Xenopus tropicalis: one gene and its partners. The protein of the gene in region 1 binds, or shares a complex with, the protein of each later gene. Links are inferred from orthologs where the notes say so. Each region holds a gene or a part of one and is shown in the gene's direction. Other genes may lie near its edges.

Evidence for each region.
Region 2: ints6 (region 1) and ints1 share a complex: the UniProt entries of both Homo sapiens proteins name them as parts of the integrator complex. The link is inferred for Xenopus tropicalis from reciprocal best matches to the Homo sapiens genes INTS6 and INTS1.
Region 3: ints6 (region 1) and ints12 share a complex: the UniProt entries of both Homo sapiens proteins name them as parts of the integrator complex. The link is inferred for Xenopus tropicalis from reciprocal best matches to the Homo sapiens genes INTS6 and INTS12.
Region 4: ints6 (region 1) and ints7 share a complex: the UniProt entries of both Homo sapiens proteins name them as parts of the integrator complex. The link is inferred for Xenopus tropicalis from reciprocal best matches to the Homo sapiens genes INTS6 and INTS7.
Region 5: the proteins of ints6 (region 1) and ints2 are in contact, whole or in part, in a cryo-EM structure (PDB 8RBZ), measured with the Homo sapiens proteins. The link is inferred for Xenopus tropicalis from reciprocal best matches to the Homo sapiens genes INTS6 and INTS2. Residues at the interface, in NP_036273.1 of Homo sapiens: Ile484, Val486, Arg487, Ser488, Arg489, Phe527, Gln528, Val529, Ala530, Leu531, Leu532, Asn533, Phe541, Arg542, Asn543, Ala544, Tyr545, Ile547, Arg549, Leu552, Leu553, Leu556, Met559, Arg560, Asn562, Leu563, Leu564, Lys565; in NP_065799.2 of Homo sapiens: Ile855, Asp856, Pro857, Leu858, His895, Arg923, Glu925, Leu926, Lys927, Ala929, Leu930, Ala932, Ala933, Gln934, Ser936, Ala937, Gln940, Ile941, Glu944, Asn1010, Lys1013, Leu1014, Phe1017, Gln1018, Gly1019, Tyr1020, Pro1021, Ile1046, Ala1047, Gln1048.

Annotation. Positions count from the first base shown.
Region 1 is NC_030678.2:149,908,432-149,914,978, reverse strand, and holds the start of ints6 (integrator complex subunit 6), read left to right. Parts: upstream 1-2,284; 5' UTR 2,285-2,696; coding exon 2,697-2,807; intron 2,808-3,013; coding exon 3,014-3,091; intron 3,092-5,106; coding exon 5,107-5,256; intron 5,257-6,547. UniProt on the Homo sapiens protein: Component of the integrator complex, a multiprotein complex that terminates RNA polymerase II (Pol II) transcription in the promoter-proximal region of genes.
Region 2 is NC_030685.2:29,729,010-29,735,033, reverse strand, and holds part of ints1 (integrator complex subunit 1), read left to right. Parts: coding exon 1-5; intron 6-396; coding exon 397-543; intron 544-2,654; coding exon 2,655-2,753; intron 2,754-2,936; coding exon 2,937-3,061; intron 3,062-3,187; coding exon 3,188-3,442; intron 3,443-4,374; coding exon 4,375-4,534; intron 4,535-6,024. UniProt on the Homo sapiens protein: Component of the integrator complex, a multiprotein complex that terminates RNA polymerase II (Pol II) transcription in the promoter-proximal region of genes.
Region 3 is NC_030677.2:72,493,217-72,499,782, forward strand, and holds the start of ints12 (integrator complex subunit 12), read left to right. Parts: upstream 1-2,260; 5' UTR 2,261-2,343; coding exon 2,344-2,346; exon of another isoform or gene 2,347-2,428; intron 2,429-2,537; exon of another isoform or gene 2,538-2,630; intron 2,631-2,684; exon of another isoform or gene 2,685-2,705; intron 2,706-3,829; exon of another isoform or gene 3,830-3,903; intron 3,904-3,978; exon of another isoform or gene 3,979-3,995; coding exon 3,996-4,160; intron 4,161-4,963; coding exon 4,964-5,107; intron 5,108-6,453; coding exon 6,454-6,566. UniProt on the Homo sapiens protein: Component of the integrator complex, a multiprotein complex that terminates RNA polymerase II (Pol II) transcription in the promoter-proximal region of genes.
Region 4 is NC_030681.2:14,761,803-14,767,826, forward strand, and holds part of ints7 (integrator complex subunit 7), read left to right. Parts: intron 1-704; coding exon 705-808; intron 809-2,070; coding exon 2,071-2,139; intron 2,140-3,153; coding exon 3,154-3,286; intron 3,287-6,024. UniProt on the Homo sapiens protein: Component of the integrator complex, a multiprotein complex that terminates RNA polymerase II (Pol II) transcription in the promoter-proximal region of genes.
Region 5 is NC_030678.2:91,785,238-91,791,261, forward strand, and holds part of ints2 (integrator complex subunit 2), read left to right. Parts: intron 1-3,706; coding exon 3,707-3,845; intron 3,846-5,260; coding exon 5,261-5,363; intron 5,364-6,024. UniProt on the Homo sapiens protein: Component of the integrator complex, a multiprotein complex that terminates RNA polymerase II (Pol II) transcription in the promoter-proximal region of genes.

The DNA of each region.
Region 1 (6,547 bases):
TGTACTTTTCTGGACCTGTGATGTTTACAGAATTGGAGCATGATAAACTCTATGGGGGGGTCCAAGGTCCTGGAGAGATTAGTGATAAACTCTTTGGTTGGGGGGGGGGGGTTCCCACAGCGCACATTTCATATTCTCTGCAGGGGGAACCTTTCTAAAGCAATGATATATTTTACCTATAGCTGCAATGGAATAAGTAGCTGCTGCATAATTGAGGCTAATCATTTTCCTAGGTGGCAGCTCAGTGCACTATTCTTTGTCACTCTGCCAAGAGACTGACAAGCTCTTCTACCACTTTAGATTCAGGGAGATTACAGAGGCAGCTACAGGTAAAACGTAGGTATAAAGCAAGTTAGAGAATTCTTCATCAGTATGTAAATTCTATTTTTCATTAAAACTAGGGACACGCTGCTTGTGTCTATTATATTGTTATTCAGACCATTTATGCAGCGTTTGAAAACAGTGGGCCTGCCCAACCTGGAATCCAATTAGGCTGAGGGTGAATGCTAGGATATCCTTGGAACTACAGGAGACTTTTGTGGCCATGTTTTTTTAATATCAGTAGTCTTGTTATGAAATCAAAATGCTTGAACTCCAAAATTAAGGCCTCTACTTTGCAGCCTTACAAAATAAGACAGATGCTACAAATTTGCTTCAAAGTCTTTCAATGATGACATTGCAAACCCAGTCTTACATGCAGGGTCATACCTAGACATTTTTCAACCCCGTGGACTTTTTTTGTTGTTGTTGTTGTTGTAAGGGCCCCCTCAAGTATGGCAACAGGACATGCCATGAAACTGCACACGTCAGGGTCCCCTGCACTTGTGGGGCTATTGTTACCCCCCTGCGTAGATATAACCTCATCAGACTTGCAAGGAACACTTGCACTGCTCAGGAGGCCCCTCAGGCGAAGACTTGTATAAAGCGCATTAGATAATGGGAAAGGCTTCTAGATGACAGAGTGCCTGGTGTGCAAGGGTAAGCGCATGTGACCTGCCCGAGAGAAGTTTACTCTCCCCTGCTGCATAATGGGACTGTAGCTCCTCCATTTGTATCCCAGCTGCACAGCCAGTCTGTGCCCTGCTCATAGCCCTCAGCTAAGCCCACCTCACACACAGGCCATGCCTTGTTTATATTTGTTATTTGATATCTGCTCACTAGGGACTTACTGGGTCACCCAGGGACTGCCACACGATGGGGCTTGTTATAGTCTTCCCTGCCATATAGGATATACAGGTATAGGACCCATTATCCAGAATGCTCGGGACCAAGGGTATTCCGGATAAGGGGTCTTTCTGTAATTTGGATCTCCATACCTTAAGTCTACTAAAAAATCAATAAACCATTAATTAAACCCAATAGGATTGTTTTACATCCAATAAGGATTATTTATATCTTAGTTGGGATCAATTACAAGGCACTGTTTTATTATTACAGAGAAAAGGGAAATTAGTATTAAAATTCTGAATTATTTGATTAAAATGGAGTCTACGGGAGACTTTCTGGATAATGGGTTTCCGGATAAGGGATCCTATACCTGTACAGATATAACATTAGATCAACAACAAACGCCCCAGCCTTTATATACTGAGAATACCGGGACTCGCAGTCCAACTGTGAAGACGGGCCTGAGGAAAGCGCTGTACTCCGCAGTTAAACTACATTTCCCAGCATTCCCAGTCGCGCAAGCATTTTCGAGCAGCGCTCAAGAAACAGGCCATGGGGAAAAACGACAGTCGCCAGAAGAACGCCGGAACTGAACGTATAAAACCAATATGGGCTGGTCAGAAATAAACGTATGTACACTAGAGGATATAAAGATAAAGCGAATGAGGAGTTTAACTACAAGCACGTAAATAAAAAGCATTAATTTCCTTCATCTGAACCCGCATCCACCATGCCCTCGGCTGCTCTGCTGACGACTGAGGAAAAAACACAGCGACGACGCCCGTTATACACAAGGCAAAGCGCGCCGCACAAAACCCGCGTACGTACGCGCGTCCCGCATTTCCCCGCCCACTTCCATGAACGCGCATGACACCTCCCGTTGCCGCGCTCTTTCCTTTTTAACCCAACTCCTCCCGCGGAGACTCGCTTTCCCCATGATCTCAGCCACCGATAGGGTTAATGAATGCGCGTAACACAATCCCTTCATGAATATACATGAGCCGAAGCACATGCTGTCCAATAAGGCACGCCTGTCCCGCGTCACATGGGACTCTGACGTAACGGCATTAGGAGCCGTCGAACCCCTCCTCCTCGCTTTAAAAGCTCCGAGTGCGAAAGGAAGCGTTCAGTAGAGGGAGACAGAGCTTGTGGCAGGGGGAAGTAGTGCTGAACTCATTCAAACTTCTGTCACATCCACGGGGGGCATAAACAATCCAACTTAGCCAAGCCAGCTTCCCTTCCAGCCAGAAACATGATATAATACAGAAGAATTTCTCAGAAGGGTCCCAAACTGCAAAAAACCCATCCCCATCAATAATAGCCCCTTAAAGAACCTTCCCCTTTTGGAACTGAAGGCCACGACCCGTCATACAAAGAGGATATGGGGCTGTGGGCAGCCAGCTAGCAGACTCAGGGACACTCCGCTGCTGTTTCCCCCACACCCTGCTTAGCCCCCTTGTGTTTCCCGTGCTGGGCGAATGGAACTGCCCATGTAGCAGCTCCTCGCCTGTACCAGCAGCGGCAGCACTATGCCCATTTTACTTTTTCTGCTAGATACGTCCGCTTCAATGAACCAGCGCACCCACCTGGGCACTACCTACCTGGACATAGCTAAAGGCGCAGTAGAGACTTTCATGAAGGTATAGTAGTACCCCCCTCCCAGTGAGCAGCTGCAGCAGCCAGGGTGCCAGCACCACTACCCCCCTGTTCCATTAGGGTTACCCCCAACTCAGGGGGCGCTTGTAAGCTGCCTACTTAACGCTCTCCCCCCTTCCTCTGATCTTCTATCTGCCTCTGTCCTTCCCTCCTACTGACCCCATCTGCTCCTCTCTGTCTTGTTTCTCAGCTCAGATCCCGAGATCCTGCTAGCAGAGGAGACAGGTACATGCTGGTCACCCTGGAAGAGCCTCCTTATGGGATCAAGGTAATCATAAATATAATCAGCATCATGTAGCAGGCACCACTGCTCCCCCTCCCTCTGTGTGCCATGTCTGTGTCAGCCTTGCTGGCATGTATCCCTTTAACAGCCACCACACGCACTCACACACACACACATATCCAGTAGCTGACAGAAACATGGCCGACATCCCCCACTCCTCCCCCTCGTAACCCAGCGCAGCCGCAAGGAACTGTGGGAGATCGAGACTCAAGTTAAAAGTGACATCCCCAAGGGGAACTTCGCAGATCACGATAGGGGCCCTGGAGTGTCAGGGCTGCTGTTTGTGAGAGACTATTGTGGGCCCTAGTGACTCTCCTGATAAAAACAATGTATTTTCATTAGTGTCTCACTTATATCTGCCTATTGCAAAGTGGGGAAGGTCTCAGCACAATAACAGCTAATAAGTTTTGCATGTGTGTAAAATATTATCATTAAGTCCCTGCTTAATCTTCATCTGTTTTTCATTTTTTTCTTATTATCAAAGCAATATACAATTACACATAGGAATATAAAATTATATTTGTTGTATGCATTTTTAGAATGATACATAATTTTAACACGTGTGCATATGTATATATTTTATATTTATACAATATAAACACACACATACTAACAAGGGATGTCCAACCTTCAATCCTTAACCTCCCAGCACCCAGTGTCTGAAAAGCTGATGGGAATGATCATTTTAGAACAGTTAAATGTCCACCAGACTTGGGGGCTGCAGGGAGTTACCATATGAGAACAGTTAAATGTCCACCAGACTTGGGGGCTGCAGGGAGTTACCATATGAAAACAGTTAAGTGTCCACCAAACAAATTCCCAGTCATTAGTTCTCACTGTCACGTGAGAGCCAAATTATTGTCAAGGAACCCCATTTGTAGTTCAGCAGCTGGCGGGCTGTAGGTTGCACACCTGGAGTATTTGTAATGCAGTTAAATGCACACTGAGTATATTTCTTTATTAAAAACACTAAGATAATATTAAAGGCATTTTGGCGGCAACTGTTTATTATTTTTGTATGGATTGTAAGTTTTTGAGGGTAGACTTTTGTGTTATACTTTCTTTCTGCTCTTAGCATTAATGTTCGTGCTCGACAGTCATGTTTGCTGCTATCCTATTATACGGCACTTCATTCATTTGCTGTCACTTTATTATTATTAGTATTGATGAGCATAGTCCTATTGTTTGATTTATTATGCTGTTCTGGTTTTTGCAGTCACAATACCTGCATCTGTTCTTTTACTGTGTGTTACCGTTTCTGGCATTTTCTTATTTTTATGTGAACAACACATTTTATTTTAGTTGCATTTTGCCAGAGGCATGAACTAGCTTGTGTGATTATCCACTCTTAGTTCTGTACCAGTACGTTCTTAAATAACCAGCCTTTGTCCACTTGCATGACCTAGCATAAATCAGCATTTCTCAGACTGTTAATTGAACCCCTTCCCCATGGGATTTTTTACATTGATATGGGTGCCAAATATATTTTGTTTTTTTATCTAGAAATGAGAATGTTTTTATATGTTGCTTATACTACCATTACAATATAAGTAAGTAAGTAGAGTTTTATTGTCATCCCAACAATATACTTACAAGTACACAGTGGAATGAAATATTGTCCTCCTGAATCAAAAAGGGTGCAATATATAACTATAATAATAGAAAATAAAATAAAAAAATTAAAAATTTAATTTAAAAAAATAAATAAATAAATATATATTTAATATATATTTTTTTAAAGGGATTTTTCACCCAACCCTGGATGCATGCACATCCATTAAAGAGCACTGGGGATAGGACCTACAGAAGTTTTCTGCACATCCTGTCCCCAGTGCTCCCTATGTGAGCAAAGTTTTTAAGGGGCATATTTATCAAAGTGTGAAATTAGAGTTCACCACAGCAAACATTTAACTGCTATTAAGTTCAGTTTTTGTCTTTATTTATAAGCTGAAAATGTTATGTTTAAGAATCTGACATATACCTGTTCTATTTGCTTACAGGCTGGATGGAAAGAAAATCATGCAACCTTTATGAATGAACTGAAAAACCTTCAGGCTGTAGGACTCACCACTCTCGGTCAATCCCTAAGGACAGCGTTTGACTTGTTAAATTTAAATAGATTAGTAACTGGCATAGACAATTATGGGCAGGTAGGTTAAAATTTGCAAGAATAAACTGATGTACTCCCAGAAAATATACAGTTTTCTAGAAAAATTTTTAACTTGAATTTGTAAAAGGCAAATGTAATTAAAATGGTGAGGTTAAAGGGGAAATATGGGTGAAATTTACAGCAAGTAAAAATAAATTATAATGTCAAATTAGTGTTTAACGCTAATACTTCTATCTTTAATTTTATCTCCCCCCATTCCTATTTCCATTTAAGTCAATTGCCTTTTGCTGAACAGTGCTAGCGTGGCTATTTGCATGCTGTGGGTGGGAATTGCTGTTGAACAGAATACAATTATTCCTGAGCTTCCCATGGCAGTTTACATGTATTTCTACTGCTCTTTCAGGGCAGGCATAAATCTACTTGCCATCCATGACCTGGTTAATAGCTCCATACCTGGATCCTTCTTCTTGTCCACTTATATGCTTAAGCTGGTTTAGCGCAAGTACTGTAATCAGGCCTGGACTGTGAGTCAAAATGGGCCCTGGCATTTTAATTACAGAGGCCCATATAGCTTTCTCACCAGCCCACTAAATAGTGACTGTTTATGGCAGGGGTTGCCAGACTTTTTCATTCAGCTGTTGACTGATGACCAGGGAATGCGGAAGTGCAGTGTGAATGTGTATGTATGCATTCAAGCAACACTTCTACATCCCCGACTTCATCACGGTCCACCAGTGATCCACAGGGGATCGACTGGTGGACCGCGATCAACGTATTGGTCACCCCTGGTCTATGGCATCTTACAGCAGCCTCTCTACAGATTGGCAGTCCTATTTTTCTTATCTCCCACCACCAATTACTGGATAATTGGTAAAAGACCGTTGTCATCTGTATGTTCATATAAAATGTAAGTGACTCAGACAAGTTCCTGTGGTCGTTTGCCTGGCCATGGAATATAATCTTTTAGGGTAAATATAGATTGCCATTTAGTTATAAGATACCATTAACCTGTCTGTCATTGCATGACAGATGGCATATGCGGCGCAGCAATTTGCCAAAATCACAGCAGTTGCCTTGAGAGGAAACTTTGGCGATTTCGGCGCTGCATATGCCGTCCCACCGGCGATTTACATTCTAGCCGGGTGGCATTTCGGGGAGATTATTCGGTGACTAATCTCCCTTTCTGTCACGGCCCTAAGAGGCACTTAGTTTGGCAAGAAGCAGTAGCAACCAGTCAGCACGTGGCATTTATTGTTCACCTATTTAAAAGCAAACATCTAATTGGTTGCTATGACTTACTGCTACTGGGCAAACTTAGTGTGTTTCATTGC
Region 2 (6,024 bases), on another chromosome or scaffold:
TGCAGGTATGTTGATCTCAGAGACCACATGTAGAATGTGTCATTAATTCTTTATTCAGAGATAACAAATTACAAATTATATACAAAATGGGCCAGATTTAATTTAGTGAGAAAAAGTTACCTCATGGTTCATCACGTGAAAACGAGGTTTAAATCAAGGAGAAATAACTTTTGTCCTAATTCAGTCCACTTTTGGAAGGCTGTGGCTACTGTAATGGTGGTGTAAGGAAAGGTATCCTGGCTATGCATTTGTTTAATATCCTGTTGGCATAAACTATAGCATACTTATTTGGACTTAGTGTGTGTGTGAAAATAGACATCATCAAAAAGTGCATATCTATGTTGGAATGGTGAGGTTGTGTTATATTATCCATTATTTGATTTTGTATGATTTTAGCATTACATGATTTGGAGCCCCAGCAACTGTTGCTGTTTGTACAGTCATTTGGAATTCCAGTATCCAGCATGAGTAAACTTCTTCAGTATCTTGACCAGGCTGTGTCCCAAGAACCTCAAGCCTTAGAGCAAAACATCATGGACAAAAGTGAGTAGAGGAGATTGCAGTGGTTGATACCAGCAGGGTTCCCCCCTTCTATTCTTCTTTCTCTGCTTCTCCTTCTTTAACAATGCACCCATGGTACAGAAATGTATGTGAAAGAGTTGAGAACTATAATAAAAAAAAAGTAGAAGAGAGTGGTGATGCATGGTAGTTACTGGGAATAAGTAAACATGTCTGTCTGCTGGGAGAGTGCATTAACACCTTTAGATTGTAAAGCTCTTTTGGGTAAGGTCTTCTTTACCTCTTGTATTGGGTATTGGTTGTTTTTGTATGTTTTTTTTGTATGCTTAATGGTTCCCCCCATAACCCACCCTGCATGAATACAGTATTGTATTATACGACGTACAAACGGCCTATCTGTAGTATGCTAGCAATTTAATTTACATTTTATGTTTAAAGGAACAGTAACACCAAAAAATTTGAAGTGTTTTAAAGTAATTAAATATAATGTACTGTTGCCCTCTGCTGGTAAAAGTTGTGTGTTCTCCTTTTTTCCAGTTGAATGGCTGCCCCAATAGCTCGCAGCAGCTATATTTATATAAACTATAGCATAGTTTCTGTAGCAAACACACAGCTTTTGCTAGTGCAGCGCAGTTGTGCATAGTATATTACTTTGATTTTTTTGGTGTTACTGTTCCTTTAAACACCTAAACTTTATTTCCAGATTTGTTTTACTGGTATGTGATCAAACTTAAAGGAAACAGGAAAAAATTTGCTTAGCTTCACCAGCTAATTAAAGTGATAGTGACATGCTCCTTATATATGTGGAAAATAATATACTCAAGATGTTATATGCTGTATCAGTGGTATGAAGCCGACTTAATGGATATGCAACAGACTGTTGCAAAGAATCTGGCTTGTTTATAACATAGCTGCCTTATTACTCTATACAGGTAGAAAATCTCACTGCCTTCACTTACATAAGGTGTTGACATCTTTCCCTGGGAACTGTTTGAATTAAAATTGTATCAAATATTGAAGAGGAATGGTTCTTTTTCTATTCCATATGTTTTGCTGTTTATTTGTTGTACAATCCTCATCTGACTGTACAACTGCCAATTTATGCGTCATTTTAGTGATTGCTCATATGAGCAAAGGTCTAATTACCTATAGCAACCAATCAGCAGGTAACGTTTTTAGGTCACCTTCCTAAATGCAAGCATCTTACTGGATGCTTTAGGTTACTCTGCATGGGAATACTTTGTGCCTTTTAAATATAGGGGCAACGTCCCTATGAAATGCACACTATGGTCAGTTTTATCTGGAGCCAGTTAACCTACTTGTATGTTTTTTGATTTCTCGGAGGAAACCCATGGAACACAATTTTTTATGGATCTAAACATTTAGCTATTCAATTCTCATTTAAGTTCTAAAGTTGAATATGGCTTAAGCCCTGTATTAAAAAAAAAATAAAAATGCCCCACCCTACATCAAAGCCACTATCTCGGCATGTTCTCCAAACTCAACGGAATTGTTCCTCCAGTGGTTATATACTTTCCTTCTCTCTAGTAAATTGCTCACATACACACTTATAGGACGTTACTAAAGTACTAATGAGTTAAAGATAATTTTTTAAATCATAATCTTAGCACCTCTTTTTCTTATTGTATATATGTGAAATATATTGCAAGGATATAAATGTGAAAATAGCTAGAAATCCCCTTAAAGGGACACAAACACTCAACACACATGAGTGTGTCCTGATGACGATCCTATATGGATTGAAACGCGTAGACTTTTTTGTTTAATAAATTATTTTATTTTTTTATATTGGTCCGTGAGTGCTTTCTTGGAGAAGGTGCATGAATATAGGGTTAGCACCCGGACAGTGGCTATTATTTTGGTGAGTGCCGATATCTGGACTATATTTTTGTTGTGACTTGCCATAATGTTAGTTAAGTAGCGCAAAGGAAAACTCTTTACCACCACCGTTTAAAAATAAAAACAAAGAAATTGGTAATATAGAAATTGCTGTATATCTCTTAGTGTTGCATTTCATTTATTTATTATTGCCTCTCCAAGTCCAGCTTTTGGCATTGTGTCACTGTAGAAAATATTCCCCATGAGAATAAGGAATTCATGTGCTTCGTTTCTAGATTACATGGCTCACCTTGTTGAAGTTCAGCATGAAAGAGGAGCTACAGGGGGCCAGACCTTCCATTCTCTGCTGACAGCATCTATTCCCCCCAGGCGTGGTATGTCCGTTTATTTTCCTGCTGCTTAATGTATATTTAATTGTATAATTACATAAGGTTTGTGAGACTGCAATACTAGCCAGGACTGTTGTCAGTCACAGAATTTGTATTTATTTTACTAATTATAGACTGCAAATATATGGTATCTGAAAGATTTCCATCTTTCCAATCTGTGTCTTACAGACAGCACTGAGTTGATTAAGAGAAAAGCCAGCACTGAAACTCCCCAGGGGCAAGTACGGGCTAGAGCTGTGACCCAGATACCTGTCTTGGGCCCAGAAGATGATTTGGCTGGGATGTTTCTACAGGTAAATCAATACGTTTAAGGTCTTAAATTTTATTTATTCCCAGTAAAATTGCAGTTATCTGTGGATTATTTTTTTATCAAAGAACTCTATAAATTTAAAGATTTTTTTTTTTTTTTTTAAATAAAGCTTTTCCCCTTAAATCCGGATCCAAGATGGCAGAACTTCAATCCACGTCCTATTTCCCTCGCCTTACAGCAAGCCTTGGGGCAAGAGTTGGCCCGAATCCGACAGGGAAACACCCAGTTAACAGGGATTGCAGTGCGTCTGCTCCAGGCAGTGGGTGCGCTGTTAAACTCTCCCCACAGTGGAGCCCTGGTCCTAGCTATGCACAGAAATCATTTCATCGCTTGTCCATTAATGAGACTACTCTATCAATACCAGGTATGTAATGCATTCTCACTGGTCTGAACAGCTACAGTGGAAACCTGGATTATAGTGAGCGCTATAAATGAGGTTTGTCCACTGACAGCCCTGAAAGTACCCACTGCATTTGCGACAATTAAGGGTATTGTGTTTTTGTGTCTTCTAAAACTAGATATGCTTTAGGACTCGTTCAAGTTGAGACAAGGGGTATGCCAGGTCTTGGAGATACTGGCAACATGTCAGCAGCATGATCCACTAGTTCTAGTTTCGGTCATTGCTGATGCTGCATATGGACTTGCAGCGACTGGCTTAAATGCTTGATATCTTAGTGCAGTGATCCCCAACCAGTGGCTCGGTGGATTTTTTACCAAATAAAGCCTCCTGTAAGCTGATAGTGTGCATAGAGGCTGCCTAATAGCCCTTAGCCCTTATTTGGCACCTCCATGAACTTGTATGGTGCTTGTGTTGCTCTCTTTTTACATTTGACTGTGGCTCACGAGTAAGAAAGGTTGGGAAACCCTGTCTTAGTGCAATCTACTCCTCTTTGTTGTTGTCTCCTCTCCTGTTATGTTTTCCAACCCATCAGTCCGCAGGCAGAACAGACAAAGACCATACGAAGGGCGACTCCTCATATTGTCACCATTCTGTTGTTCTGATAATTCATGCTTATATTCTTAGAATATAAGAAAGGGAACAGCAGGAGCTGAAGAGGAGCTCTGTGGCTCTTTATCACTTCCTTTTCTGCCAGTGCACCACGTCAGATGACATTTGCAAACGCAGTACATGGATATTGGTTAGGATTGTCAGACCAGCATGCACACATTGATAATTATACCTTACAATCTTATCTGTGCACATATCGCCACTGATAGAAAAGTTGCACAAGAATAAAAATTTGAGCATTATGTTTTGGCTACCACCAAAAATAATCCTATATCTTTTCTGTTTAGCGCTCTGTCCCTCAGGATACAGCTTTCTCTTCTCTCTTCTTCAAAGTCCTCATGCAGATGTTACAATGGCTGGACAGCCCTGGGGTTGAAGAGGGTCCTCTTCGTGCACAACTTAAATCATTTGCAGCTTTGTATTCCTCAAAACATCGCATCAGTGATGGTATGATTTGCACACTGCTAAGAGCAGCACTAGCTGTGATTTTATTGAATTAACTACTGGCTCGTTATTTGCATGTACCACTTCTGTCAGGCAGTGAACATCCCTGGTTGTTTATGATTCTGTTCAGCTTCCTTGCTCAGTGGTTTTGCTACCATGAAGTTAATGACTCAAAGTGGTAATGTGGCCTTGTTTTCTGCAGTGGAAATATTGGGAGTGAATGCATATTTAATTTCTCTTTCTAATGTTGTAAAGGAGAAATATACTTGTGTTCTACAAATACTTAACCCGATTTGTTGGAAACAGATTCTTTAAGGGCAATTACATTGTTTAATTGTTTAGTTTAGTATTTGTTTTTTTATAACGAGGAAAATACAATATCACGACAAAGCTCAGTCATATTGTCTCTTTTATTAATTTCCGTTTATATATCTCCAATGGAAATATTTAGAATTTGAATCTCAAATTTATTCCTTTTATGAAGTTTACTATTTTCAGTCATTGTCACAGGTTGGGTTTAAAGGGCTTGGTAACCTTCAAACTAACTTTTAGAGTAATGTAGACAATGATATTCTGAGACTGCTTTTGATTCTGCAATTGTTTTTCATTTTTATTATGGTTTTCCAGCTCTTTGGCATTTTGTTCAGTAGCTCCCCAGTTTGAAATTTTAGCAGCTATCTGGTTGCTAGGGTCGTGTTTACCTTAGCAACCAGGCAACAGTTATGAACGAGAGACTGAATTATGAATAGAAGGGGGCCTATACAGAAAGATAAAGCAATAAAAAGTAACAATAACCGTAAACAAAAAAAAGCGGTATAAGCTCACAGAGCAATATTTTTTTTAGCTGCCGGGGTCAGTGGAAAGATGTAGAAGAGAAATGCAAATTATTTAAAAAAATATATAACAAAAAAGACCAATTGCAAGGTTTTAAGAAAAAAGACATTCTATAACATATTAAAAGTTAACTTAATGGCTAATCCGGCTGTAGCCTTCACCTGAACCTAAATTTGGCATAGCATGTAGCCCGAGTGATTCGGTATTTCCTTGTGCTAAGCACAATCAACCAAAGATATTTTTAGGAGTCACACTTTTAATTTTAGTTTTGCACATTTCATAAATATAATACCAATGCAATTTGTAATTACAATTGGAATACATTTTCCCTTTAAATGTCAAATGTAATGTTTTTTATATTCTCCTAATAATGCCAAAGTACTAATTATGTGGGTAAACCCACATGGCTTTAGTAGTAGTTTTTAGTACAGGTATTGGACCCGTTATCCAGAATTCTCGGGACCTGGGGTTTTCTGGATAAGGGGTCTTTCTGGAATTCGAATCTCCTACCTTAAGTCTGCTAAAAAAAAAAATTATTTAAACTCTAATTTAACCCAATAGGATTGTTTTGCCTCCAATAAGGATTCTTTATATCTTAGATTGGATCAAGTTCAAGGTCCTGTTTCATTATTAAAGAAAAAAAGGAAATTATTTTGAAA
Region 3 (6,566 bases), on another chromosome or scaffold:
GATTCATTCACATCAGTCCCTGCACCAGTGCATCTTCCAATCTAAGGTCCCTATCACATTAACGTATATATGCTTTTTGCTCTTTTATTCATACTTAGATGAGTGGAGCACACCCGTCACCAAAATAACAGCCCTGGGTGCAGGTCAAAAAATGGACAAACAGAGAAAGAGTACTGCACGCTTTTTTGCACCAAGTCCCTGAGTGTGCGGTTCGTTCTCTCTCACTCTCTCCACACTCACTGGGACTTTGTTTAAGAAACAAAAGTTTAACTGAAAGAGATACAACATCTCGAGCACAAACAGTGCTCTCCCTCAGGGACCTGTTTGTGCTCTAACCGTTGGATCTCTTTCAATAAAACTTTTGTTTCATACATGAAAAAAATAAATAAAATAAAATATATATATATATATATACACACACACACACACACACACATATATATTTATAGGGTCCTGTGTTTAATTCCCATCTAATATTTAGAGACAGACAGATAACTTCAGAATACCTGCACTCACATATAGGATAGTTTCTAGGGTGTTTGAGAGAAAATAATAATTAGCAAACAAATAGGGTACAGCACTCATTGTTCTTGTTTAAAAAGGTTTTATTTAGCGTAAACTTTATATAATTAGAACTCTTTTTCACTATTCACAGAACCAGTGAGTGCTATGCTCTGTTTGTTTGCTAAATAATTATATGTATACATATGTTAAAATCCTATTGAAACATCACAGGTATGAAACAGGACAGGATAGTAAATCTTTTGCTAAGACTTTGTTTTATGGCCACATGTAATCCAGTTCAAAATGCCACCAACATGTTAGGCAACACTTTTCAGAGATTATATATCAATCACATCACACTCCCTGCCCCAGTGGAGCTAACAGTCTAAAGATGGCCATACACGGGAAGGTTTCACTTTGGTCAAAAAAACAATACTATCTGTAAAAATGGACCCTTTATTGGAGCTCCCTATAGATCCTCTTAAGTCCCTGTTGTATTTCAAATGAGGGGTGGGCACATCCTAACAATGCCTGCCAGAAGCACAGTAGGAGGGGGATAGCCAATCACAGCCCTGCTGTCACACAAGCAAAGACAGGCTTCAGTTCCCTATCAGGTCAGCCTAGCTGCCGATTGGTTTCTATCCTACAGTGCAGCCGGTTCCCCTGCATAGCCTAGGAAAGAAGGCAGTAGAAAGTGGGACAGATGGGCTAGATTAGTGGGGTATTTGGAGAAAATTTAAAAAAATCAGCCTGAAACACAACTTTTTAAAGGAAATTCCTTCTACAATTCATTTGCACAATATTTTTTTCACACAATATTTCACGTTTACACTGCTGCTCTGGCCCCTTCAGAAGAAAGTTAGCCGCTTATCTACCTGTGTATGTGACCTCTCCAACTTCCTCCCCAATAGATAACCTGGCTAAAAATCCAAGTCCAGATATCTATTGGGCAGGTTTAAAAATCTCATTGTAGCAAGTACTGCATAGGCTCAGTTATGCTTTCCTGTCAACTGCATGTACTAGGGGCCATTTCAGTCAACACAAAATGGCCAGTGTCAGACTGGGCCGCCGGGGCACTGGGAAAAACCTGGTGGGCCCCAGTGGCCCGAACCCGATCCCCGCACACCACTCCTGTAGGTCCATAGGTCTCCATCCCTTGACGCACTGAAGGTAAGTGTCACTTATGCACGATCGGGGGAGGGGGTTGGACAGGTGGTGGGGGCCCCTGCGGGGATGGTGTGAAGGCAGGTGCATGGGCTCCTGAAGCAGTAGCCCCGGTGGGCCCTGCTCCCTGCTCCCCCCAGTCCGACCATATCAGGAAAATGTGTAAGGCCACTTTAAGTCATTAAGCTTACTAAAACATTTTTTCATACACCAGTTATCCTGTTTGTATGTTTTTGGGGTGCAGGAGGAAACAAACATAAAAACACCTTTGCAGACAGTACTTGAAAGCCCTGTCTAAGTTACTTCATATAAAATGCTTACTGTAAGTGAGTACACCTGTCACTCTCAGCGGTTCTGTTAGTCCTATATTAATTGCCACAGATGTAACACAGAGGCAAAACACCATTGTGGGCTAAACTAGAACTAACACAAAGCCCAACTTATTAAGTACTACACCTCCCCGAATTCCTTTATGGCAGTACACTGTAAAGGCTGTTGGGAATTTAACGCAAGAAGAACCGAACCTGAGGCCGGGCAAAGTAAGAGCAAGTTGCGCAGTAGAACCCAGATGGAGAATGTTTCAAGCTCCCATGTGCAGTGACCTAGGGAAGGACCCATAGCAACTGTGCAACCCCCCACACCGGGTACCTTTATCCTGCTGTTCTCTCGTGCCTGATGGTGACTGATTTTTTTTTTATTATTATTATTATTAAGGTCGGGGTAAAAAAAAGTTAAAAACCCAAAGTGCAACGGAGAGTCGCTCCCGAACACAGCCAGAAGGAAAATCTTTTACTGTTCCGTTACGAACAGGAACGCTTGAGCGCTGGCTGCGGGGAGCAGTATTGCTGAGGGACCTCCCACACCCGGAAGTAGCGGCGCAGTGCGAATAGAATCCTAAACCAAAGCACGGGATTTTGAATATTTCCATTGTAAGCAGTTCTATTAGGGCTTTGTCTGCTGAAGTAAGTAGTGATGGCAGTATCGCTGTACAGTATAAGGCAGGAGAATCTTCTAACCTGTGGCTTCTATAGTTCCCAGACTGAAGCAGCCTGAGCATCATTGGTGTTAAGAATATACTCTACTGGCCTGGCCCCACACTCTAACATGGGGGAATGAATTAAAAGATGCAGTTTGCCGCTGGCGTAGTAACCCTTAGCATCCCAAAGGGGGGGCCAACGTTGCTGGTGATATGTTTAAAAATAATATGGGCTAGTAAACCTGGGCTAAACTTTGCGTGTCACAATGTTGATAGACAAGTAAAGAGGAAGTAGACTGGGTAAAGCAAATTGCATGACAGTTTTTGCCCCACTCAACTCTTTTCATGTTACATAATGTTTATATATAACGTGTTATGTTGTACATACTACTGTGAAACCCAGATACTGTAGATATTGTAACTGTAGAGTAACTGGGCCATTGACTGGTAAGCAGTTTCATGAAAAATTTCTTTTTTTCCTGTCCTTATTTCATCCTGATTCCAAGCATTTGAGGGGAAGTTTGCCTTTTCAATAAATATAATGTGATGTTTTTCTGCTGGTCTTCATTTTTTGTGTTAGCTTTACATTTTCAAAAGACCATAAGGCACAAGTATATAGTGAACCAAGCATTCATATTGTATTTGTGATACCCTCTTTTTTCCAGCATTAGTTCATTTAATAGGGTTTGTGCCTGTTGTTGCAATTAATTGTGTTATTGTCGCTGTTACAAAATAGACAACACTGAAAATTGTCTCTGTGTGTGTTTTAGCAGAGATAGTTTTCGGTATTGTCTATGGCAGGGTATTTTCTGGTGTTTTGTAGCTTGCTACAAGTAGCTCCACGTCAGAGCCCTAAATAAGGTAGAGTAGGTAACTTCCATAACTATTTTATTTTAGCTTGCATTTCACTTTGTCACCCCTGGTTACATCTTTGGAAATAAAGTGAATCACCAGTGGAAAGGCATACCTGTTGCTTAATTTTCGAACTTGCGCAAAGTTTCCTCCTGCAGGCAACTTCGCATGACTTCATCACGTATGCCTTCCCGCCAGTGATTCACTTTATTGGCGGTGGAAAGGCATTTCGGTGGAGATTAGTCGCCCCTGGAGCCGAGGTTGCGGGCGACTAATCTCCCATGAGCAGTCACCATTACCTGAATTAAGATGATCGTTTCTACTATTATTTAGAGCCATGTTCAAGGATTAAATGTCTCTCGTATCTCTGATGAGTTGGATAATATAAACACTATTTACTTTTCAAGGTATGTTTATTGCTGTTCTAACATTTTACCATAAAAGAACAAATAATTGATACATTTATTTTTTTTTGTAAATAGCCTTATTTTCATTGCAGGTTATAACCATGGCAGTCACTATAAATACTGAGTTGGATCCTGTCTTTTTGAAGGCACTTGGATACCTCCACTCAAAGAGCAAGGACTCTGCTGAAAAACTGAAGGCATTGCTAGATGAGTCACTGTGCAAAGGCAACGACTCTGTCTACCGTCCTCAACCGAAGGTTTAATAATTAATAATTATTTAATATTTTAAAAACAAGAATACATTTGCTTGTAATAGCGTATTGTATATAGTTCTCTAAATGTTGTGACAGTTTATGTAGGTAAAATTTGCTTCAAAGGAAAAGAAATGCCAACACCCCACCCCTCAATGTGTTTATTGGGGAATGGAGTAATTTGCAAATGGTTCTATCCCACTCAGCAAAATTGTACTTTGTAGTTTGCATAGCAAATAAGATATGTGTTGAATTGTGCTCCCTGACTAAAAAATAAGCAACATTAAAACATTTGTGCAAGGAAGTATGTATTGCTGTAGAAGAATTACATAACCCTCCCATTTTTAAGGTTCTCGGTAATAACCCGGAAGAACTGTTGTTGAGGTTAAAGTATAGACTCAAACACCTTGCATCTAAATTTGGGTAAACGTACAAACATAGGTGCAGCTTTGCACCATTGCAGTAATCTATACCAAAATTCCAAAGTTTGCCACCTGTGTTTTTGATATAGTTCCAGGAGGCTTGTCATAATCCAACAATAATATTGTTGGCAATAACCAGTCAGCATATGGAGTATGAAAGCTTGACATATGAAAACATATAGCATATCTCTTTCTTGCTTGCCCTCTTTTTGAATTAAGTTATTTTTAAAGTAATGAAAATTAATCTTTAGTTTATAATTTCTGCAGGATGATTAAGTCGTAAAGAATATTGTTCCACACTTAATGTGTATCTGAAAAATATACCTAAGAAAAGTATGTATGTGAATCTTTTGCTGCTTTTCTTAAAGTAATGTGTTTCTGTTTAAGGAAATGGAGCAGCCCAAAGCAATGTTATCTAAAGTTAAGCCTGAAACAAAGGCCTCTAGCAGCACTCCATCAAGCAGTATGCTAAGCAAACCACTGACTTCAGAGAAGTTAAAGAAGGAGGCTGAGAAGAGATCTGCTGATAAGGTAAAAAGACAAACTCAAAAACTTTGTGTTCGTCTGTGCAATGACTTAAGGTGCGGTCCCCGATTCGACTGAATTTTCTAACCTGCCCGATCGATATCTGCCCATTTTCAGGCCAGATATCTGTCGGGCAGGCCCCTCGTTTCTGCCCCTACATGGGCCGATAAGCTGCTGAATCGGTCCAAGGGACCAATATCGGCAGCTACTATCGGCCCGTGTATGGGGACCTTAAAAGTGAGTGTTTTATTGTGAGTGAATGTCTTCATTTCTTTGTTTCTTCCAAACTTGAGTTTTTAGCCATTTCGATTCAGTACTGCCTGATCTGTCAAAACTGCATTAGTGCTGTGTTTTATGCATATACACATATATTCTGCAGGTTCTGCAGCTTTTAGGTGTCAAACTTTTTCTAATTCAAGAAAGACCGCTAGGGGAAAAATGCCTCGGCTAAAGAGTTTTTTTCCCACGAAACCCCCCTTGAGTTCCTTAACTCGTGGGGTTTCCTTTGTGATTACACGAGGTAAAAGGCTCAAGCAGTCATAAATCGGCCCCTAATTGTTGAGGTCTGTGGCAAACAAGGCGTTTCCTCACTATCAAATTGTGAGATCACCATTGTTTACTTTCCATTGATATCAATGCAATGCACATAAAGTAGATCTGGCTCATATGTCATAACAACAGATGTGCAAGGGTTAATTTTGGTGGCTTCTTATTACTCAACAAGAAGCCGTGCCCCCTGTTTGTGTCATTGATGAGAAACTTTTTGTGCCAGGCTGACTGTGCTTTTTTCTTATTTATAGCTCTTTACAATTTTTTCCAGAACGCAGTCTATTGTTCACTTTAGGGCAGTTGTCATGGTCACACAGGACAGAATATTTTCTTTTGAAATGTAGCACTTTTGCAACATGCACTGTGGAATTATCTAGTCTCCTATAGCAATATATCACTATAAAATTTCACTAGTATTCAGGTTCTACCAAGAGTGTGTAGAACTTTATCTCTGAATTTTCACCAGGGGTATGTATAGCCCCTCAGATACGCTAAGGTGAAAATTGTATCAAAATCACCTGTGCGCTAGTATTTGAAGCAAGTCCCATTGCTAGGCAACTGGGCAATTTCAGTCATTTTCAGTTGCTTTTTCAGTGGGGGGGAAACTGCAGCAGGCAAACGGCTACATTTTTTGTCGTTGGTTTTAGTTTTATATATAGATTTTTATACAATATAATTAGCCAACACAATATGTGGCCATATGCAGTTCAGGCTGGTTCTTATTGCTAGGTTGCTAAAATGTTTGTATTATGTAGAGTATCGCACTGTTATGCAGTCAATTCTGTATTTGTTTGGGCTGACAGATGAAAGTGGAAATCAGTGATGTTATGGATATTCCAAAGAAGCCTCGTATAGAGAAGACAGAAGCTCGTTCTTCCCCTGTCACAGTACAGTTAAGCAAGGATTTGCCTGTGCC
Region 4 (6,024 bases), on another chromosome or scaffold:
CCACCTTGCATACAATGGAGTTTGTGGTTTATCAGTATTTAAGCCTAACAGAAATCCCCATGATCTATATACAGTGCAGCCCTGGGGCCAACAGAAGGACCTAGTTCCAGAACCCATAGGTAATGAAAGGGAGATGGCAAGTAGGGTTTAAAGTGAAACGGACTGGAGTATAGAAGTAAAATGTTACATAAGTGCCATTATATTAGACCTGTGTTGTTATTATTGTTTGGATATATGTTTTAGAATTATTAGGCTGTATCTGCTCTATTAAACTAGCAGTTCTGGATGCATAGTTGGGGAATAAAAGAGTCATTTGCGTGTCTCTGCCTATAAAAATGAAAATTAAAGGCTCTCATTTCAAGCATGTGAATACCTTCTGTTTTCAGAAGTATATACACTGCACTATTCCAATAGGGCTCATTGGCTCCCTTCTCACCATAACCACTATGGTTCTTTTTCTTTGCTATATGAGGCTACCAGGTTGCCTCAGCCTATTACATTGTGCTTAAAAATTAAATATTCAGTTTAATATGTGACCATGTTATCCCCTTGTTAGCCTGTTTGTTTCACCCTTTATGTGAAATTGGGGTGCAGTCCTGCAGGCCCCCAAATGGTACAGTACTATGACTCCCCCCCCACTTACTGCCATAGGTTGTCCATCTTTGCTCTGAATAAAGTGCTTAAATCATGTTTTCCTCTGGCAGATGAAGCATTGCATGGAAGAATTCAAAAGCCTCGCTGCTCGCTATGGGGACTTGTATCAATCTTCGTTTGATGCCGATTCTGCAACTTTGAGAAATATAGAGTTGTATCCTTTAGTATGATCTTGACTTGCTAATATCCAACAGAATAATACACGAGAGAGCAGAGAGGGATTTTTTTTAATGAACATATGGGCAGATATTTGGGCACATTTATTAACCATTCATTGTGTAAATTTACTTCAAACACTTTTTTAAAAAAGGTCAGTCTGTCTGTCTAATCTTATATATCTATATATCTACATCTACACCTCTCAATCTGTTTATTGTTTCTGTATATAGGAGTACAGTACAGCAACCCATTGCCTTAGGGCGAAGACACACTGGGCTACTAATAGCAGCTACTTGTCATGGCTACTAAACGCCAGAAATACCCTGCCCTAAGGGTGAAGACACACTGGGCTACTAGTAGCAGCTACTTGTCTCTGCTACTAAAAAATAAAATGCTGATCATTTACCGATAATTGTCTTGTGTGTTTTAGCAGAGACAATTCTTAGTATTGTCTTTGGAGGGGTATTTTCTGGAGTTCAGTAGCCTTGAAAAAGTAACTGCTACTAGTAGCCCAGTGTGTCTTCACCCTAAGGCAGGGGTGGCCAATACGTCGATCGCTGTCAACCAGTCGATCCCCCGTGGATTTCTGGTGGACCACAATCAAGCCTGCGATTCAGAAGTGCTGCGTGAATGCGTACGTACGCTGTGTCGCGTACGTACACATTCACGCTGCACTTCCGCGTCAGTCTGGTCGATCACGACTGGACCGAGTCTGGCCACCCCTGCCCTAAGGGCAGTGAAAGACTTTTTGCCGAAGTCGCCTGAAGTTTCCTCTCAAGGTGACAAATTGCATATGCCATCCCACCGGCAATTTACATTCTTGCCGGTGGGATAGTATTGCAGGGAGATTCTCCCTGTCTGTCACTGCCTTTAAAAGGGAAAATCTAAGCCAAGGGTTCCTAAATAATGGTACTGGCTCTTATGGTGGAGCCCAATGCATCAGATATGGTTGGTGCAACCTAAAGGTTTAGAGTGAGATTTGAGTGAATGCCCATTTTGTGCCCTGGATAGGCCAAGCAGTTGCAGAGTGAATGTTATAATGATTAAGCACTGAACCTAAAGGAGATCCTTAAGAAATGGAAAGGGGATGGCTGATCTAATGCTGGGGCTGTTTAAAGGGCCAATAACATCAGAAAGAGAAAGTGTCAAAGGATTTGCGTATAACGTTCAGACTAGCACAATTTTGGGCAGTTTAGCATGGTACCATGTGCTGCTTGAACATAAACGGTATTTCATATTCCTTAATTAAAGAATCAGACAGCAGCAGAGCTGCCTTTTAATTTCACATGCCATCGAAGCACTCATTTTGGATCCAGACTCGTGTAGGTAAGGATAATGGTTGAGATCTGTACTATCATGTCCTGATGAAAAGTATAACATTTGCACAAGTATGTGTGTCCCTCTGATTCAGTTACTGCCAGGCTCCCCAATATTTTCAGTGTAGTGAGCTGTTTACCTGATGCACCGCTTGCTTGAGGCTTTGTTTTATTAAGATGCTGTCACACAGTTATACTTGTTATGATTATTATGGGGTACTTTTTATTTCTAAATTACACTGTTTACATTGCAAATAATTCACTCTACCATTTAAAATGTTATTCTTGAACCAAAAAATGTATTTGTAGCTGTAATATTGGTGTGTAGGCGCCATCTCAGTGCATTGTGCCTGAGTCTGAGCTTTCAGCCAGCGCTACACATTAGAACTGCTTTCAGCTAACCTATTGTTTCTCCTACTCCCATGTAACTGGAGGAGTCCCAAGCCGGACTTGGATTTCTTACTATTGAGTGCTATTCTGATACCTACTGGGAGCTGCTATCTTGCTCCCTTCCCATTGTTCTGCTGATCGGCTGCTGGGGGGGGGGGGGGGAATCACTCCAACTTGCAACGTAGCAGTAAAGTGTGACTGAAGTTTATCAGAGCACAGGTCACATGACTGGAACCCTGGGAAATGAAGAAAATGGCTAGCCCCACGTGAAGTTTCAAAATTAAATATAAAAAAATTTGTTTGCTCTTTTGAAAAACAGATTACAATGCAGGATTCTGCTGGAGAAGCTCCATTATTCTTTAAAGTGATTGCCTGGTACCTGGCCTTGACCTTCTATAGCTGAGACATTACACCATGTTGGCAGTGACAGACCTTGGCGTCTTTGCCCTAATCCTGGGCTTTCACACTGTAGGCTCAGGCCAGATGTCTCTCCCCAAGTGATTTTTCTTACCTTCCTGGCTGAGGAACTGCAGCCTTATTTGTGGGACATGATTATGTTGGTATAATGTGGCCAGTGATAAACATCCCAGTCTCCAGTGCAGAGGGTTTTATTGCTTTTTTTCCCCCCGGGCAGTTTCCAGGAGTGCAGCTTCAGTGGGGCAGTACAGGCCGACAGTGAGTACGAGCGCCGGATGATGTCGGTATTTAACCATGTTCTAGAGGAAGTGAAACTGCTTGGTAGAAAGTACCCGCCAGTGTCTTACCTGGTAAGTGGCACATATCTCGATTAAAATTTATTTTGAATTAATTCAGGTTGAATTAGGACAGAAGTGTGGGTAAAGAAGATGATTCCCAAAACCAAGAACCTATTGCCACTCCTGCAATAGTCCGTTTCTCAGCAAACAACCTTTTCTAAAGCAGCCATACATGTACAGATTTTCGGACCATGTGTGGGCTCCAAATTAACGTCCCGATAATTATCATACCGTGGCAATCGCCCATTTAGTCGACTGGACAGATTAACATTTTGGAACATGTATTGAATATCCGACGATATCCTTGGGGGCCCTACAATGGGAGTCACTCTCATACGATTGGTGCTGCCAACTATTTCATGTTCAGAACATCCTCCCATTTGTTATTTTTATGACTTTATCTTACAAATTTCAGTCTGAGTGTTAGTTTTAGATTGTTGCATTTAAACCTACAACCAATATCTGAAGACTAAAATCTGATGTATGGCCAGCCTTACTCTGCTGCTATAATACATGTATCTTACCTGTACCCTTAAGGTGCCCATACACGGGCCGATTCTAGCTGCCGATAACGGTCCCTTAGACCAACTCTACCGCTTATCGGCCCATGTATGGGCACTAACGGCGGGCCTGCTGACCGATATCTGGCCTGAAATTGGCCAGATATCGATTGGGCAGGTTTAAAAATTTAGTCAGATTGGGGACCGCATCAGCTTGTTGAACCGACTGCGCCTATACCCGTCGTTCTAATTCGATTGTTTGGCTCCAGGGCCAAATGACCGAATTAGCCTGAATTAGCCCGATATCGCCCACCCGTAGGTGGGGATATTGAGAGAAGATCCCCTCGCTTGGCAACCTCGCCAAGTGAGCGGACCTTAGTGTGTGTGGCCACCTTTACGCAGCCCGGTGCTAGCAGTGCCAGAACCAGTGTAAGGATCTCCTATAAACCAACAGCAAACCCTTCTTTTAGTACAAAGAAATGGGTTCCTCCCCATGTGAATATATAAAATGCTTTGCTCTTTAGTATGTTGCCTTGCTAAAGGATTCACACCCTTGCCCAATACTCCAAGTAACCCATCCTACGTGCAAATGTCATATTTATATTTGAGATCACTTCCGTGTGATGTTATTTTGTGCAAAATAAGCAAAAATCAGCAGAATAAAATGACAAAAACGTGCTTTTTGTCTAATTATCAAACACGTACCCTTTTGTAGAAGTAAGACAGCTGTAAGGCAGTGACGCACTAGGCCAGGGGTAGGGAACCTATGGCTCGGGAGCCAAATGTGGCTCTTTTGATGGCTGCATCTGGCTCACTGCCAAATCTTTAATTAAAAAAAAAAAAGCCTTAGAACATGTCTTCTATCCGCCGAGCGCAGGCCACGCCCTACTCCTCATCCGGCGTCCTTACCGGGTTGCACTTGAACCAGGGCCCAGGGAACTGAGAGGGACATTGGAGCAGAAACCTGTGACAGTTCACACTTGAATTGAAAATAAAATGTGGCCAATATGTCTCTGTTGGGGCTACAAAGAGAAGCAAACTGTGCACTGTGCTAGGTAGCGCTCTAGTTATACCACTAACAAGCCATATTAAACAGCTAAAGGTGACACCCACCCTACCTTGCCCCGCAGCATCCGCGGCCGAACGGGCCTGAAGTCGCATCGTCCTCCACAGGCAGCCACAAATCGAGGCCCCGGCTTCTGCCTAGCTCCTGTCGGCCATTGTATGGCTCTCACAGAATTACATTTTAAAATATGTGGTGTTTATGGCTCCCTCAGCCAAAAAGGTTCCCGACCCCTGCACTAGGCGATAGCCAGCTGTTCGCCATCCATATGTTTTCAGTTTGCCATGTAGCAAAGCAGTCCCACTTGCCCTTTATTGACCTAAATGGTAATTGCTTGGGTGCTGCTGGGACACTCACAGGTCCGGTGCTCCCTGGCATATTTAAATGGATAGTTTGCTTACCTGCCAGTCCAGATGATACCATTTAGGTCAATGGAGGGATAAATATTTTTGCCAAGCTGGAAATTGCTATTCCCTAAGACTTTTGGGGGTAAGTATGAACCAGCTTTGCACACAGTTCAGAAGTGATTTTGGCCCAACGCCTCCAAATTTGTTCCAGGTTATTCAGTCATCATCATCATCATTTATTTATATAGCCCCAGCAAATTACGCAGCACTTCACAATACATTTAAACAAGTTTTAAACAAAAGTTTTACAAACAAGGGTATACAGAGTAACAATAGGATCAGAGGGCCCTGCTCGCAAGAGCTTACAATCTACAGTCAAAGCCCCTTCATTTTAAAATAGTGCTACAAAGTTTATATTTAGGGCATTGACTGGGCACATTCAGCCTTTTTGTTCTTGAGCCTCCCCATTGTTACTTTAGCTCCGTGTTTGCCATTATTGGCCACTGCTGAAAGAGTCCCTTTGAATGAGTAGCCCAATTTAGCAGCAGAGGGGCTGCATTAAAGTGGCCATTGGCCTCTCTGTGGCTTCCTTGGCAGGGAGTTTTCATAAAGAACCTTTTCTTGGCAGTGTATGTGTTACTGTACTAATGTCCTGCTAACTAAACCCAGAGTGGCCAACAAGGCATCCAAACACAGGGGCATTGTATGTGTTTTATTTGCTCTTTATTAGTTTCCTACAGCTTCACAGCCTGGATTCTCATCCAGAGCAGGATCTGTCCACAAAATGGCAGTTATTTTAATGAGTCACTGGTAGGGGCCAAATGTAAGGCAATAATATCT
Region 5 (6,024 bases), about 58 Mb from region 1:
CTTTTTCTAACCTGAAACTGCAATTACCGAGTGACTAACTCTGCAAAGTTTAGGGACCCTAGGATTAATAGTTAAAGAACGGCAGCAGTTAAAATTTAAACCAACAAAAACCAATTGGTGGTTGGTGGGTGTGCCCACTTTTTCTAACCTTGAGTCGAAGTCACCCAGTGACAAACAGTGGGCACCCTGGCATAAATAGTGTGAGAATGACAGCATTTTAAATTTAAACCAATAATATTCAATGGATGAAATCTGATTGGCTGTTAGTGGCCCAACCCACTTTTCCTATTTTTCAACTGCAGTTCCTCAGTGACCAACCTTTCAAAGTTTTGGGACTCAGGCAAAAAAATTGTGAGACTGGCAGCATTTTACACTTCACAATTGAAAGTAAATAGGTGAATTGTGATTGGCTGTTGGTGGCTCTGCCCACTTTTCAAAACTAAAACTGCGCACCCCTAGTGACCAAGTGTAAAAAGTTTGGGGGCCCTGGTGTTAATACTGTGAGAATGGCAGCAATTTGAATAGGTAAAATCTGATTGGCTGTTCACAGCTTCGCCCACTTTTGGGAATCCAGCAATCATCATATTTTCATTCAGGCTGACCCCATGACTATGTGATTCATGTTTGGGGAGTGTAACCTCAAAGCTGTAAGATTGGCAGCAGTTTCAATTTCCCCATTAAAGTCAATAGGTGAATTGTGATTGGTGGTTCCGCCCACTTTTTCTAACCTTGAGTCGAAGTCACCCAGTGACAAACAGTGGGCACCCTGGCATAAATAGTTTGAGAATGACAGCATTTTAAATTTAAACCAATAAAATTCAATGGATGAAATCGGATTGGCTGTTAGTGGCCCAACCTACTTTTCCTATTTTTGAACTGCAGTCCCCCAGTGACCAACTTTGCAAATTTTGGGGACTCAGGCATTCATTGTGAGGCTGACAGTATTTTACACTTCACCATTGAAAGTAAATAGGTGAAATGTTATTGGCTGTTGGTGGCTCCGCCCACTTTTTTCTAACTTTGAATGACAAATACCCAGTGACTAACTCTGGAAACTTTAACAACCCTGGAATTAATATTTAAATAATGGCATCAGTTTAAATATAAACCAATGGGTGGAAATGGATTGGCTGTTGGTGGCTCCTCCCACTTGTTTGGGAACCCTGACATAAATAGTGTGAGCAAAGCAACATTTTAAATATAAACCAAAAAAATTCAATAGGTGAAGTCTGATTGGCTGTTGGTGGCTCCACCCACTTTTTAAAACCTAAAAATGCAGTTCCCTAGTGACCCTGGTGTTAATACTGTGAGAATGGCAGCAGGTTGAATTTCCCATTGAAAATCAATCGGTAAAATCTGATTGGCTGTTGTTGGCTCCACCCACTTTTTCTAACTGAACTGCAGTTACCAGGTGACTAGCTCTGCAAAGTTTGGAGACCTTAGTATTAATATTTAAAGAATGGCTGCAGTTTAAATTTAAACATATGAAGTCTATAGGTGAAATCTGATTGGTTCTTGTTGGCCCCACCCACTTTTCTAAACTTGGAACATAGTCACCTAGTGACAAACTGTGCAAAGTTTGGGGACCCTGACATTAAACATGTGAGAATGGCAGCAGTTAAAATTTTCCCACTGAAAACAATGAAAGAAATGTGATTGGCTTTTGGCGGCCCGCTCACATTTTTTTTTTACCTTGGGTACAAAGTCATGCAGTGACTGACTGTTCAAAGTTTGCAAACTCTGGCATCAAACCAATAAAATTCAATAGGTGAAATCCCCGTCCACTTTTTCAAAACAGGCAGCAGGTTGAATTTCCCCATTTAGAGTCAATAGGTAAAATCTGATTGGCTGTTGGTGGCTCCACCCACTTACAAAAATACAAAAAACCTTAAATGCGTAGTCACCCAGTGTCTGACTATGCAAAGTTTGGGAAGCCTGGCAACAAACCAATAAAAATCAATAGGTGAAATCTGATTGGTTGTTGGTCACTAGTCCCCTAGTGACCAACTGTGAAAAGTTTGGGGACCCTGGTGTTAGTACTGTGAGAATGGCAGCAGGTTGGATTTCCCCATTGAAAGTCAATAGGTAAACTCTGATTGCCTGTTGGTGGCTCCGCCCACTTTTTCTTACCTTGAACCACAGTTACCTGGTGCCTAACCCTGCAAAGTTTGGGGACCCTGGGGTTATTACTGTGAGACTGGCAGCAGGTTGGATTTCTGCCAAGTCAATAGGTAAAATCTGATTGGCTGTTCACATCTCCGCCCACTTTTGGGCATCCAACAATCATTATATTTTCATTCAGGCTGACCCCATGACTATGTGATTCAAGTTTGGGGAGTGTAGCCTCAAAGCTGTAAGTTTGGCAGCAGTTTCAATTTCCCCATAAAAGTCAATGGGTACAATATGATTGGCTGCTGTTGGCCCCTCCCACTTTGCAGGGTTTTTTTTATTTATTTTTTTTTAAAAAACCTGAATGCGTAGTCACCCAGTGACTGACTGTGCAAAGTTTAGAAAATATAGGAATGGAGAGAGCTAGCACCGTCCTCACTAACTATACACCTTCAAATTATAGCCATCTACACTCCTATCTTGAGGTTGTATGAAATGGAGTGAGAACACTGAGGTAACGTGCAACTGAAGTAAAATTATACAGAAAAAAAGTCTAGACTTCAGAATTATTGCACCGTTAACCCCAAAGAAAGAGAAAAGAGGTAAAAATTATAATCGGGTAATTCACTTGATCAGGTGTTGTAGGACATTAAAACTTAACCTTTATTGGTAAAAATTAAAAAGGTGAAGTATGTCTTAGAATAATCCCCATTAAAAATCGCCTGGGGTGATATTCAATTAAGGTACAAACTATGAGGTATTATAGGGCTGCTCAGAGTTAACCTGCCTCATTCAATTCACTAAATTGTTACTGCTTAAAAAATAACTATTGTATCAAACACTCTCCACAAATCCACAGCCCTATAGAGGCAGCCAAGGAGAGATTGCAAAAAAACACCGGCAACAATTGTTGCAAAATTGTTGCGAAACAAGGAGAACTCGAGTCCAGTTTCCTTTATGTGCTATATTAACTGCTGAGACAGGGTAGGGGATTCAGACCCCGTCATAGCTGTGTTAAAGTACAGGACTCTTTCAGCTATAGGCTGGAATTCAGCCGTTTTCTGTACCCAACACCCCACCATAAATTGAGTACAGGTAGCTCAATGTTGCAGCCAGACCTCCCGTTTTTTACATTGAGGCACCCCCGCTTATAAAATGCACATCAGTCATGCAAACAAATCGGCCCACCCTTCCAAACCCAGAGCCCCGCATCAACACCCGTTCCACCCCCCTACAAGCCCGACGCGCGTTTCGCCCCTTCACGAGGAGCTTTGTCAAGGGCTCTGGGTTTGGAAGGGTGGGCTGATTTGTTTGCACGACTGATGTGCATTTTATAAGCATAATCTTGTACGTGTTTGTAATTTCTGTACTTTTGCATTTGTCAGAATCTACAGTACTGGGGTGTATTCTCGGCAAGTGCTTTTCGGCTTGGTGAGAATATGCCCGTGTGGCATTAGCCTAAGCCTGAGCAACCCAGTTAACAGCTGAACAGCTTATTTTAAAATAATATATTTTAGTTGCAGAAATGATAACCAACAGAACAGCAAACTGTAGCCTGAAGTGTTTAACCCCTTGCCTTTTTACGTTTATTGCCTAGACACAAACTAGGAGGAGGCAGTGGGGAGAGTATCTTGGTATCACAGCTGCAGCATGGATTAACGCTGGAGTTTGAGCACAGCGATTCTCCTCGCAGATTACGCCTAGTGTTAAGTGAACTGTTGGCTATAATAAATAAGGTAAGTTTTGCTGGAACTTATGTGTCTTATGACCATTGATATTTTGTAATTGTATAGAACAATATTTTTCAACCTGTGTCACATAGTGTGACAAATATTCAATATACCAACCGACCAGAGGTTGAATCCCGCCTTGACCATGCCCTTGTACACAGTGACAGATCCCCACCTGCACACTTTCCAACAAAGCTAATTTTTCAGGGCTGCAATGTAGGACTGTCCAGCAAAAATTGGCCATTGGGAGGTATATAATTATGTAATCAAAATATGTTAGTGGAGCCTTAGGGGAGTGGGTGGAAGGGTGGGATAGAAATATCACAGAGGTTGTACGGACATACTGGTCTAGGTTGCAATCCTATATTTAGGTTTGTTTATATCATATTTGCAGTAAACCTTAATAAATATAAATAAAGTTCACTAGTTGTGTTATACATATCACAATAAGATAGTGGATAAAGTTTTATCCCATTGCTTTTAATATATAATTTCTTCATGCAGAGTATAGGCACGGTCACGCTATCCAGACTTTACAAATCAGCAACAAAATACTCTGGGGAACTGTGCCAATCAGTCATTTGTAGTTTTATTTTATACCACACAACAGGTTTTGGATTCATTGATCCTTCATCAGGTGTTATACAAGAATGTGCATAACCCAAGTGACCTTTTAAAACCCTCAAAAACCAACGTGTCAGCTCCATTATGTGGCCAGACACACTAAATTACATACATCAAATTCTACTTACACGGTACTGCCATCTACTGGCTTACTCCGATAATACACACAAACTCACACAACCTGATCACAAGTGTTACAATACAAAGCCATAGTATTTATAAAGTAGCAAATACAATTAATAAATAAAAAGCAGGTAACTGTCTCCTACCCATAAAGTCCATGCCATCATAAGTTCATTGTGAAAAAGCAAAGACAATTTGAATAGTTCACAAAAAGCATTTATGAGTGCATCATTTAATCCAAACAGTTTAAATGTAATGAGCCTGTCTACCTATTTGACTTCACATTGTAGTAACAGCTTCTTTCTGTTTCCTCCACGGGTTGGTGATTTTATTGTTCTAATACCAGCCACCTGAGACTTGCACTTTTACATGTTTCAAAAAAGTGTTTACTGACTGGTGTATGAGTTTTTACATTGTTTTTTCATCTCCTGTGTTCCCCAATCCTAGTTCTCATTTTCCTTATGGTTTGTCCCACATACATTTTACCGCATGGGCATTTAAGTCTTTACACCACAAACACAGAATTGCTTATTGGTATTTTGTTCCCTTTCAAAGTATGGGTGACATGCCTACCTTTAATAATAGAATTACAACTGCTGCAACTCAAACATGGTAATGTTGCCATCTTAGGTGGGCCCAAGTAGTTCATTTTGTTTCATTTTTTTTCTTTTAAGGTAGCTGATTCAAGTGGTGAGTTCTTTCTGAAATCATCTGAACTCTTTGAAAGCCCTGTACACATGGAGGAAGCTGCAGATGTTCTCTGCATTTTACAAGCAGGTACTACTAGAAGGGTTGAATTTACCATATAGGCGGCAAAGGGTGTGAACCTAGGACAACAGCTGCTGTCTTTGATTGGCTAAATGGAAAAATAAAATAATATTGGTCCAGTTTGCAGCTGGATACTTGCACCTAGATTTAGAAGGGAGATGGGGCTGTGATGTACCCCCTTTCTTCTGTGATCTACGCATGATAAATATGTACATGCACCAATCAACCAATTCAAAGGGGGGCCCTGAGGTGCTTACTGCAGCACTAGACTTAAATATTTTTTGCAAATAGATGTCAAATTTCAGGCAATCAAAACAGCAAACAGTGTACTGACACATGGCGTGCTTCATCCCCTGGTGGGAAATCACCTCTGCCACAGGTAATGAAGCACCTGACAGTAGCTGCCTCTTTGCTTTGCATGCGGCGATCCTGGGTAATTGCTAAAAAAATGCCACCACATTTTTAGCCTTTTACCAGGAATTGCTGCATGTAATGTGTTTTACATGCAGCAATTGTGACATAAGTGAAAGGGCAGGTATTGTAAGGCACTTCATTGCCAACAGGAGAGGAGATTCTCCGTGGGGGCAATAAAGCATCCCATGTCTGGGTCCTTGTGAAGTAGATGGATTACTAGTATACTACCCCTCTTCACTCTGTTGTGACTGTTTCA